2 linked regions of the Schizosaccharomyces pombe genome follow. The protein of the gene in region 1 interacts with the protein of each later gene in a biochemical or structural test. Each region holds a gene or a part of one and is shown in the gene's direction. Other genes may lie near its edges.

Evidence for each region.
Region 2: the proteins of lys1 (region 1) and lys7 form a complex in vitro, tested with the Schizosaccharomyces pombe proteins (one study listed by BioGRID).

What each region holds. Positions count from the first base shown.
Region 1 is NC_003424.3:3,738,326-3,745,435, reverse strand, and holds lys1 (aminoadipate-semialdehyde dehydrogenase), read left to right. Parts: upstream 1-1,986; 5' UTR 1,987-2,014; coding exon 2,015-6,274; 3' UTR 6,275-6,329; downstream 6,330-7,110. Other genes in the region: rpl1002 (60S ribosomal protein L10), read right to left, coding at 607-1,272; conjugation protein Prm1, read right to left, coding at 6,330-6,931, 6,972-7,110. UniProt on the Schizosaccharomyces pombe protein: Catalyzes the activation of alpha-aminoadipate by ATP-dependent adenylation and the reduction of activated alpha-aminoadipate by NADPH.
Region 2 is NC_003424.3:4,495,130-4,498,948, forward strand, and holds lys7 (alpha-aminoadipate reductase phosphopantetheinyl transferase Lys7), read left to right. Parts: upstream 1-1,595; 5' UTR 1,596-1,840; coding exon 1,841-1,903; intron 1,904-1,939; exon of another isoform or gene 1,940-1,946; coding exon 1,947-2,660; 3' UTR 2,661-3,002; downstream 3,003-3,819. Other genes in the region: tif471 (translation initiation factor eIF4G), read right to left, coding at 1-1,175; nuc2 (anaphase-promoting complex TPR lobe subcomplex subunit Apc3), read left to right, coding at 3,003-3,306, 3,352-3,522, 3,629-3,819. UniProt on the Schizosaccharomyces pombe protein: Catalyzes the transfer of a 4'-phosphopantetheine moiety from coenzyme A to a serine residue of acceptor proteins, such as alpha-aminoadipate reductase. Necessary for alpha-aminoadipate reductase activity.

The sequences.
Region 1 (7,110 bases):
ACAACTGTATTCTATTAAAATCCCTGTACACCAAAAGTTGTAAATAATGGTACTGAGCAAAACCAGTGTTTGGATCGAAAATAAGCAAAGAAATCAGGGATAATCATAATAAAACACCTTTTCATCTCGATTTAAAAAGACAAAATTGACAATTCCATAAAATTTTTTCATAAAAAAAGTCATTTTGCGTACTTTAACCCAGCGAATATGCGTCCTTTGGCCGAAATAACTCCGTGGAAGTAGATGCGGAGTTTTAACGCCAAGTAATAGATTTGTTGAGAAAAAAATTTAGTCTTAATAGCTAAAATTTGCCCCACAATTAACTACATGGGATGCTTGAGTTGCTGGTCGTTTTAAAAATTGCCTATTTCAACTTGGTAGTCGGTTAAATTGTTACCCCCAAGTTGATATTATTTGGCTATTATCTCTACAAGTGCTGGTTAAAATCGACTTACTTGAAATAGAGGGATGATAAACAATCAACAACAAAAAAATACAACTTCCTGAAATGCAATACCTCAGTCAATTTACCGATTCATCCAACACCAAACTGTTTGAACAGTTCTATACAAAGTGAAAAGTTTCACAAAAATTTTATTAAACTTTTTAAGCAAGGTTGAATGAAGCTTCAGGGAAGAGGTCCAACTTCTCTTGGAGGCTACCACGCTTATTCAAGAACTTGGCGTAGCAACCGTCGGGAATAATTTCACCACGGCTGCGCTTTTCAATGTACTCATCACGAGCATATTGAGAGAAACCCCATTTCTTAGAGACAATGATTCTCTGTTGACCGGGGAACTTGTATTGACAACGGCGAAGGGCTTCAATGGCAGTAGCACGGCTAGAATCCTTGGTACGGACAGACATCAAAACTTGACCGATGTTTACACGGGCGACCAAACCATTGGGCTTACCAAAGGCGTGACGCATACCGGTTTGCAATCTATCGGCACCGGCACATGAAAGCATTTTGTTGATACGAACAACATGGAAGGGGTGTGCACGGACACGAAGGTGGAAACTATCCTTACCACCAATCTTGACCAAGTACTTGTTGGCACAGATACGAGCAGCTTCAAGAGCTTCTGAGGTGATTTGCTCGTATTCGTTAGAGACCAAGTGGATGCAAAGAGGGAACTCGTCAACACCAGCACGCTTACGACCCAAGTCGAAAATACGAATCTTGGAATCGGGAACGGCACGGTTGTAACGAGACTTGGGGTAAGGCTTATTCTTACAATAACGATAGCAGCGAGCAGGTCTACGTGCCATTGTGAAAAATGTGGTTCTGATTCAGGAAAGTAATTGAGAAAGACAGCACAACAAACTTTGGAAGAAAAAGCAGTCACCACTATAAACACAATTAAGTAACAATACACATATATTGTACCGGTACAGTATTATTATAATAATACAATAAATTTTTATAGTAAATTAGAGCTGTTTGGACATGTTATGTATATACTCTGCTCTAGCGTGTTTTTGGTTTTAGAAGGCGTATTTAAACATGTGGCTCAACGCTAAGCATTTTAGCAAAAATGCTTGTTGCCAATAATCAATTTAAAGTGAAATGTATCAGTATATACAATTCTATACCACATTTGATTTATTGAGTCATCTACAATACTGGCTTTGCACATCAAGCTTACTGACACGTAGGGTTGTTGATAATAAATACAAATATCGAAGAAATAAAATTGAAGACTAACTTTGTGATATGACACTTTGTACAAATGTTTATTATAAAATTAAATTATTATTATTATTTTGCACAATAGTTTAATAATTGCAATAATAAGCAGTACATTTGAATTTACAAAATATGTACGATAAATAACTTAAACACTAATTTGAAATGATATAACAAAAACAATTTCATTATTGGAGTATATTAAACATATGTTTTGGATTTTGTTTGTGAATGAAGATTATCAATTTATCATCTACAACGAAGGTTTTAGGCAGTTCGAACATTTGACACTCTCCGTTACCAACAACATATCATACTTTCAAAATGAGCCAGACGGCTCCAAGTGATACTGAGTACAATCAGCGTCTTGAACGATGGTCTGAGAGACTTAAGAGTCAAACAATTTCTCATCTTCCAACAGATTATAGTCGTCCCGTGCCTAGCAGACTCGTTGAAGCCGTGTTTGAACGAACACTTCCTGAGGATGCAAAAACAGCTCTTATTAAGGTTTATGTTGCTGCTCAAGCTAAAGGAATATTAGTAACTCCTTTCAATATTCTTTTGACGATTTTTATAATCCTCGTTAGTCGCATGACTGGAGATGAGGACATTAGCATCGGTACTAGTTCTGAGAATGCAATTCCATTCGTTTTGAGAACTTTCATTCAACCAAGCGATTCTTTTCTTGACCTTTTAGCCAAAGTGTGCGATCTGGAAAAGGAAGGCTCCTCTGATGCTGTAGATTTTTCTGATTTAATTAATTTTTTGAACGCTAAACTTTCTAAGAAAGATGACCCTCGTAAAACTCTTGTTCATCTTCGTTTTTACAATGCTCCAGACGCTCCTTCTGAAAACTTTCTTTCTACCACGGGATTAGATGTGGATTTGACTGTTCTGGTTTCGGTAAAAAAACCTTCTGATCAATTAACTTCTTTACGCTCCCAATTTACTTTCCCCGATTTACAATTGAAATTAATCTATAATCAGTTGTTGTTTTCTGAGAGTAGGGTTAATATTGTGGCTGATCAGCTATTAAAGTTAGTGGTTTCAGCTTCCAAAGATGTTACAGGTCCTATCGGTGCTCTGGACCTAATGACACCTACCCAAATGAATGTTCTTCCAGATCCAACTGTTGATCTTGATTGGAGTGGTTATCGTGGAGCCATTCAAGATATTTTCGCATCCAACGCTGCTAAATTCCCTGATAGAGAATGCATAGTAGTCACTCCTTCGGTCACAATTGATGCTCCTGTCACTAGTTACACGTATCGACAAATCGACGAGTCTTCTAACATCCTGGCTCACCATCTCGTAAAGAATGGAATTGAGAGGGGTGATGTAGTTATGGTTTATGCTTATCGAGGTGTGGATTTAGTTGTCGCGGTCATGGGTGTACTTAAAGCTGGTGCCACATTCTCAGTTATCGATCCAGCATATCCACCTGCTCGTCAGATTATATATCTGAGCGTTGCTAAGCCCAGAGCCTTAGTTGTTTTGGAAGATGCAGGTGTTTTGTCTCCCACAGTCGTAGAGTATGTTGAGAAAAGCCTTGAACTAAAAACTTATGTACCAGCTTTAAAACTTGCTAAAGATGGTTCTTTAACGGGAGGATCAGTCTCAAAAGGAGCTGACGATATCTTGCAACACGTTTTACACTTGAAGTCCGAACAAACTGGCGTTGTTGTAGGCCCTGATAGTACTCCCACACTTAGTTTTACTAGCGGAAGTGAAGGAATTCCTAAAGGTGTAAAAGGTAGACATTTCAGTCTTGCTTACTATTTTGATTGGATGGCTCAGGAATTTAATTTATCTGAATCAGACCGGTTTACGATGTTAAGTGGAATTGCTCATGATCCTATTCAAAGAGATATTTTCACACCACTTTTCCTTGGCGCATCCTTAATCGTACCCACTGCTGAAGACATTGGCACCCCTGGTCAATTAGCCCAATGGGCTAACAAGTATAAGGTTACTGTAACTCATCTCACCCCAGCTATGGGTCAACTGTTAGCTGCTCAGGCTGATGAGCCAATTCCTTCATTACACCATGCATTTTTTGTAGGTGATATTTTGACGAAACGTGATTGTCTTCGCTTACAAGTCCTTGCTAACAACGTTAACGTTGTTAACATGTATGGAACGACAGAGACTCAGCGTTCAGTTTCGTACTTTGTAGTACCTGCGCGGTCTCAAGATCAAACATTTTTGGAATCGCAAAAAGATGTCATTCCAGCCGGACGTGGCATGAAGAATGTCCAACTTTTGGTGATCAATCGTTTTGATACTAACAAGATATGCGGTATCGGAGAAGTTGGTGAAATATATCTTCGTGCTGGTGGATTGGCTGAGGGCTACCTTGGAAATGATGAATTGACTAGCAAAAAATTCTTAAAGAGTTGGTTTGCTGATCCCTCCAAGTTTGTAGACCGAACTCCAGAAAATGCGCCCTGGAAACCTTATTGGTTCGGAATACGCGATCGTATGTATCGTTCTGGTGACTTGGGCCGCTATCTCCCAACTGGTAATGTAGAATGTAGCGGTCGTGCCGACGATCAAATTAAAATTCGTGGTTTCCGAATTGAGTTAGGTGAAATTAATACCCATCTTTCTCGTCATCCTAATGTCCGTGAAAATATTACCCTTGTTCGACGTGATAAGGATGAAGAACCCACGCTAGTTGCATACATTGTACCTCAAGGTTTAAATAAAGATGACTTTGATAGCGCTACTGAGTCGGAAGATATTGTCGTCAATGGTTTGAAGAAGTACAGGAAGCTTATACATGATATACGGGAATATCTTAAGACTAAACTTCCTAGTTATGCTATTCCTTCTGTAATTGTTCCCCTTCATAAAATGCCTCTCAATCCTAATGGAAAGATAGATAAACCTGCTCTGCCTTTCCCAGACACATCACAACTTGCTGCCGCATCTCGTTCACATTCTAAACATGGAGTTGATGAAACTCTTACAGCCACTGAAAGGGATATACGTGATATCTGGTTGCGTATCATTCCACACGCTACTGATGTCAACAAAAAAGCAAGTTTCTTTGATATTGGAGGACATTCTATTTTAGCTACTCGCTTAATTTTTGAACTTCGCAAAAAATTTGCTGTGAATGTACCTTTAGGTTTAGTTTTCAGTGAACCTACTATTGAAGGTTTGGCCAAAGAGATTGAAAGAATGAAATCGGGTGAGATGATTAGCGTGATGGATATAGGCAAAGAAGAGACTAGAGAACCTGAAATTGAATATGGTAAAGATGCACTTGATTTAGTAGATTTAATTCCTAAAGAATTTCCAACCTCTAAAGACTTGGGTATTGATGAGCCAAAAACCGTTTTCTTAACTGGTGCTAACGGCTACCTTGGTGTCTTTATATTAAGAGACCTTATGACCAGAAGCTCTAACTTGAAAGTCATTGCCTTAGTCCGCGCCTCATCGGAAGAACATGGTCTAAAACGTCTTAAAGACAGTTGTACCGCGTATGGTGTATGGGATGAATCATGGGCCCAAAAAATTTCTGTTGTCAATGGTGATCTTGCTCTCGAAAACTGGGGTATAGAAGAAAGGAAATGGAACAAGCTTACTGAAGTCGTCGATTATGTTATTCATAATGGTGCCCTTGTACATTGGGTTTATCCATATTCTAAACTCAGAGGTCCTAATGTTATGGGTACAATTACTGCATTAAAACTTTGCTCTTTAGGAAAAGGTAAATCCTTGAGTTTTGTTTCATCCACATCAACTGTTGATACTGAGTATTACGTTAACCTTTCGAACGAAATTACTTCAAAGGGAGGAAATGGAATCCCAGAATCCGATCCTTTGCAAGGTTCTTCGAAAGATTTGCATACCGGTTACGGACAAAGCAAATGGGTATCTGAATATTTAGTAAGGCAAGCGGGATTACGTGGCCTTCGTGGTGTTGTTGTGCGTCCTGGATACATTTTAGGCGACTCCAAGTCTGGTGCTATTAATACCGACGACTTTTTGGTTCGAATGGTCAAAGGGTGCATTGAATTGGGTCTGTACCCGAACATCAATAATACTGTAAATATGGTTCCTGCCGATCACGTTGCTCGCGTGGTAACTGCCAGTGCTTTCCATCCCGAACAAGGAGTAATTGTTGCTCACGTAACTAGTCATCCCCGACTTCGTTTCAACCAATTCCTAGGAACTCTTTCCACTTTTGGCTTCAATACCAAGCTTTCCGAATACGTCAATTGGCGTATTGCTTTGGAGCGCTTTGTCATTAATGAGTCTCATGATAGTGCTTTGTATCCCTTACTTCACTTTGTGTTAGATAATCTTCCTGCTAATACAAAAGCTCCTGAATTAGATGATACAAACACACGTGAAATCTTGAAACGTGATGCATCTTGGACTAACGTGGATGTTTCTAATGGAGCTGCAATTTTGGAACATGAGATGGGCTTATATTTGTCATATCTGGTAGCTATTGGATTTTTGCCAAAACCTACTTTAGAAGGTAAAAAGCTTCCTGAAGTCAAAATAAATGAAGCTACTTTGGAGAAGCTTGCATCGGCTGGTGGTCGTGGAGGCGCTCCAACTCATTAGATTTATTAAGCAGTTAAATTATCCAAAATGAAAAATTTAGAATCTATGTAGACTTCTAATATCTATCCTGTTTTTCTTTCAATAAATATGTTGTCTCTTCACTTTCTGTTGTGATTGAGTTAAATTGTATATCTGAAATAATTGCCGGTGAGATGGGAATGTCAATAGCAAGGTCACTAGATAGGCTTATTAAACCCAAGGACCTTTTATAGTCTATGCAGTCATCTTCTTCATATTGAAAATTTTGGAAATCATAAACGTGCGATTCTCGGGGAGGAATAGGAGGAGGCCTACACGACTTCGTAACAGGAAAAGCTAACGATTGTACTGGTAAAGTAATGTTCTCCTTTGGATTTGGAATAACTAAATCTAGAAGGCTAAGGAATAATGATTTGAGCCAAGATGATAAAACACCAATTAAGCCGAATGCACAAATCAATAACCAAAGCAAAAAAAATAGGAAAGAAAAATTTAGCTCACTTATTACTGACTTTTCAACTCTATCAAAGATACCAGAGAAACTCACTGTGCTGTTTGATGAATTTAGTGAAGAATATAAAGAAGAATAGATAGTTTGGTTATCTATAGATTTGCTTAAAATATCAGTAGGTAAAAGAGGTAATTCAATATGGGATTTGTTATAAACCCAAGTCAAAACTATTGGTTAGATTAAATTTGAAAGACTAGTATAACAAACCTTCTTCAAAATTCTCAATTTTTCTGTAAAGCAAGCAATTCATAACATTTTGTACGGTACTTGCAAGAAAGGTGTCTCCAAACGCACTTGTCATTGACGAATTCAGTTCATTCATAAACGTATTCAGCGTAGAGTTCAA
Region 2 (3,819 bases), 760 kb from region 1:
TAAGGAGTCTGTAAAGAAACTGGAATTTGAATTGGTGTACTACCATTGTTTACGTTTTGGGGATTGTTCCGAGGGCTTTGATTGGCACTACGTCCATTAGACATATACGTAGGATAGGCACCTTGATTGTTATAGTTTCTCCTAGAGTTTCGAAAACGAGGATGCCCTGACTCATTCCTATTATTTCCCGAGTTATTATAATTAAAACCATGCTGATAATGAGAATATTTATTGTAAGAAGGATGAGAATTTCCGTAACGGTCGTAGTGCCGCTTTTCGGAAAAGTTTCCGTGATTTTGACGATTAGATCTAGAAGATGTGTTTGATGGTGTACTACTTCCTGACAATGCAGGAGAGTTGGACGCTGAAACTTGGGTAGTTTGGGTGGCGGGATCAGTGGTATTGATATCGGTTGAAGGTTTATTAGTCGGTGCGCCATTAGCAGGAGAGGTATTGGTGTTGGATGCACTCGTGGTAGGACGAGGTCCTTTAGTGGCGGTTGAAGAAGCCTCCGGCTTAGCAGCAACAGGTTCTTCTGTATGAGGAGGATTGGATGTAACCGAGGAGTTAACAGACTGGCTTTTGGAACTATAAGAAGACACGCCACTCTTATTTTGCATGTTACCAGAAACCTTTGGTTTTGAAGGGATAGCCGCATTTCTGGTAATCGAACCAAACTGAATTGGCACAGTGGATACAGGAGGTGCTGTTTCTTGGGAGGTAGATTTCTCATTTACATTTTCCACGGGAGCTGCATTGTCTTTACCAATTTGGGATGAAGTTTCAGGCTTCTGATGCTGTGAGCTCGTTCGTTCAGCAGAGCTATTGGCCGATGGTTTTGAAGTATTATCGCCGCGCCATGGCTTATTATTGGTTGAAGATTTTTCAGAAGATTTTTTTTCCACCGATCCTTCCTTGTTGACAGGAGATTTGCTTGAGTTGTACTTTTCAGTGTCAGCCTCTGAAGTAATCTTTCCAGTGGACTCTGTTTTCTTTTGGGCATTAGCACGAGAGGTATTCGTTGGCTCCACCCCTGAAGGCTTTACTGCCTGCTTTTCAGCAGTTGCAGTATTATTTTCTGAAGCTTTAGTGCTATTGCTTTTATTGGATTGACTGCTGGCCAAGGCACGAGCATAACTAAACTTTGGAGTATTTGACGGTGGTTTTGAAGACATTATACTCTTCGTTTATCTACAATTATTCAAAGTAATAAAACTGAAGAGACCACCGAATATTAAAACCTTAAATTAGTTCGTTTGTTTTATATACAACAACCGAGTTCTTTTCTTCCTATTTCTACTGAAAGAAAGAACACCAATTATAGATTATTATTGGAACGGAACAAGACAAACAAATGTAACGTTCTGTATTCCGTTAAATATTAAAATACCCTCCAGATGAGTTGATAATAAATTTTCAACTGAAGTGGTTGGGTTAGTGGTGGTGGTCAAGAGAAGCAATAGAACGAAGCAGCAAACTCTTCAAATTGTGCCGCTTACGTTCTATCAGTAAATTTAACGAAATTAAATCTTCTGCGATAAACACGTTTTATGACTGTTAATAGATATTCGCAAATTAAAGAAAAGCTGTTCTCCAAGGTAGAACAAAAAATATATTTTTTCGGAAAGTACTGTCGACTTGCGTTAATGTCACGCTTCATAATTCATGTTACTATTTATTGGTAGAAATTATCTTGATTGCCTTCTAACGAAATTATACTCTTCTTCTGGTTGGTTTCGAGTTTATGAGTGATTCTTGTTTTTGTGTTTCCTGGAAATTCTGGCATTGTTTATTGTAGTTTCTCATTGAAGAGTATTTCATTCGATTTAAATAGCAATATATGAAACAAAAAGTATATAGGTTATTAATAGATACTCAAGAAGCATGGCCTTTTGAAAGAACTGTATGTTTTTAGTTTTATCTAAACAATTTTTCTAATACGTTAGAGGATACCCAGTTTTAAAAAACTGAGCGATTCTGAGCGACAACAAATTGAGAGGTACTATTTCGACATGGATGCTAAAATGGCATTGGCTTCTATACTTATTAAAAGGCACTTAGTCTCCACGGCTCTCGAATGTTCACCAAATGAAGTACAAATTTCTGTCACAAAAGCCGGGAGACCGTATTGCCAATCAGCACACTGTCCTCCTATTATATTTGACTTTAATGTATCCCACTATGGGGGAATCGTAATTGTAGTAGGAGCATGGCTTCCATCAGATCCTTCAGGAATGCGACCGATCAATATTGGAGTTGACATCGTCGAATGTAAACCGTTAGCTTTTGAAGCATCATGGATGGAAGATTTCATGAGTGTATTTACTCCTTGCGAATGGAAGTTGATTAAAAGTTCAATTTCTAGTATTGATGTTTTTTTTTTGCTCTGGACTTGCAAAGAAGCGATTTTGAAAGCACTCGGTATCGGATTAAGTGGAAACCCTTTGGATATTGTGGTAACATTTCATAAATTAAATGAGCTGTTAAATTCCGAGGAAGTGTCTTTAAGAAGAGCAGCAACTGCAGTGTATTCAGGATATTCTTGGGACTTGGAAATTCATAAACTAATACTTCACTCTAGTACTTTTTACGTCAGTGTCGCCTTTCCACAAGACTGCGTAATAATGGATCTAAATTGGGAGACATTGAACGACTTGTAATTTTTTTTTATTAACATGTATCATCGCATTGTTTTAGACCGTGATGCCTCCTTTGCCTGTCTCCCTTAATGCTTGGATCGAGTTGCATTAGTAGTGTTTTTTTATTCTCTGATAATTTACCCAAACTCTTTTTGGATTTATCAGAGTTTACACAACTCTATACACCATCCAGATGATTTACCTATTTTTGTTTATATGTTTTTTTTACTAAAATGCTACATTGCTTTATAAGATTTAACATATCTTAACGATGGAGCTCAAACAATAACAACCACCTGTTTGTACCCACATGTTTTTGTTGACATTAACTCCCATCGTTTCCAAAACTTTAATAGATTTGTCATGACAGATCGATTGAAATGTTTAATATGGTATTGCATTGATAATCAGAATTATGATAATTCAATTTTTTATTCAGAACGTTTACATGCAATTGAAGATTCAAACGAGAGTTTGTATCTTTTGGCATATTCGCATTTCCTAAACCTCGATTACAATATTGTATACGACTTATTAGATAGAGTAATTAGTCATGTTCCTTGCACATACTTATTTGCAAGGACCAGCCTTATTTTAGGCAGATATAAACAAGGAATAAGTGCTGTGGAGGCCTGTCGATCGAATTGGCGCTCCATTCAGCCAAACAGTATGTGGTGATTTATTTCGCGAAACCTCTAACTAAGTTATCTAGTAAATGACTCAATTAGCAGTCGTGGACATCCAGATGCCTCTTGCATGCTTGATGTTTTGGGTACTATGTATAAAAAGGCAGGGTTCCTCAAAAAAGCTACAGATTGTTTTGTAGAAGCTGTCTCCATTAACCCATATAATTTCTCTGCTTTCCAGAATTTAACTGCAATAGGTATGTGACAGATGTTTTGTTGTGAATTAGTAAATTCACTTTTGTCAAAAAAAAATACTTATTTTCGTTTATTTCTATAATTGTGCTAATATATTTTGCTGAATAGGCGTGCCACTCGATGCTAATAATGTATTTGTTATTCCACCCTACCTTACGGCAATGAAGGGTTTTGAAAAATCTCAAACGAATGCTACAGCTTCGGTACCAGAACCGTCTTTTTTGAAGAAAAGTAAAGAGTCTTCCTCATCTTCCAACAAGTTTTCGGTTTCTGAATCGATAGCAAATAGTTATTCAAAC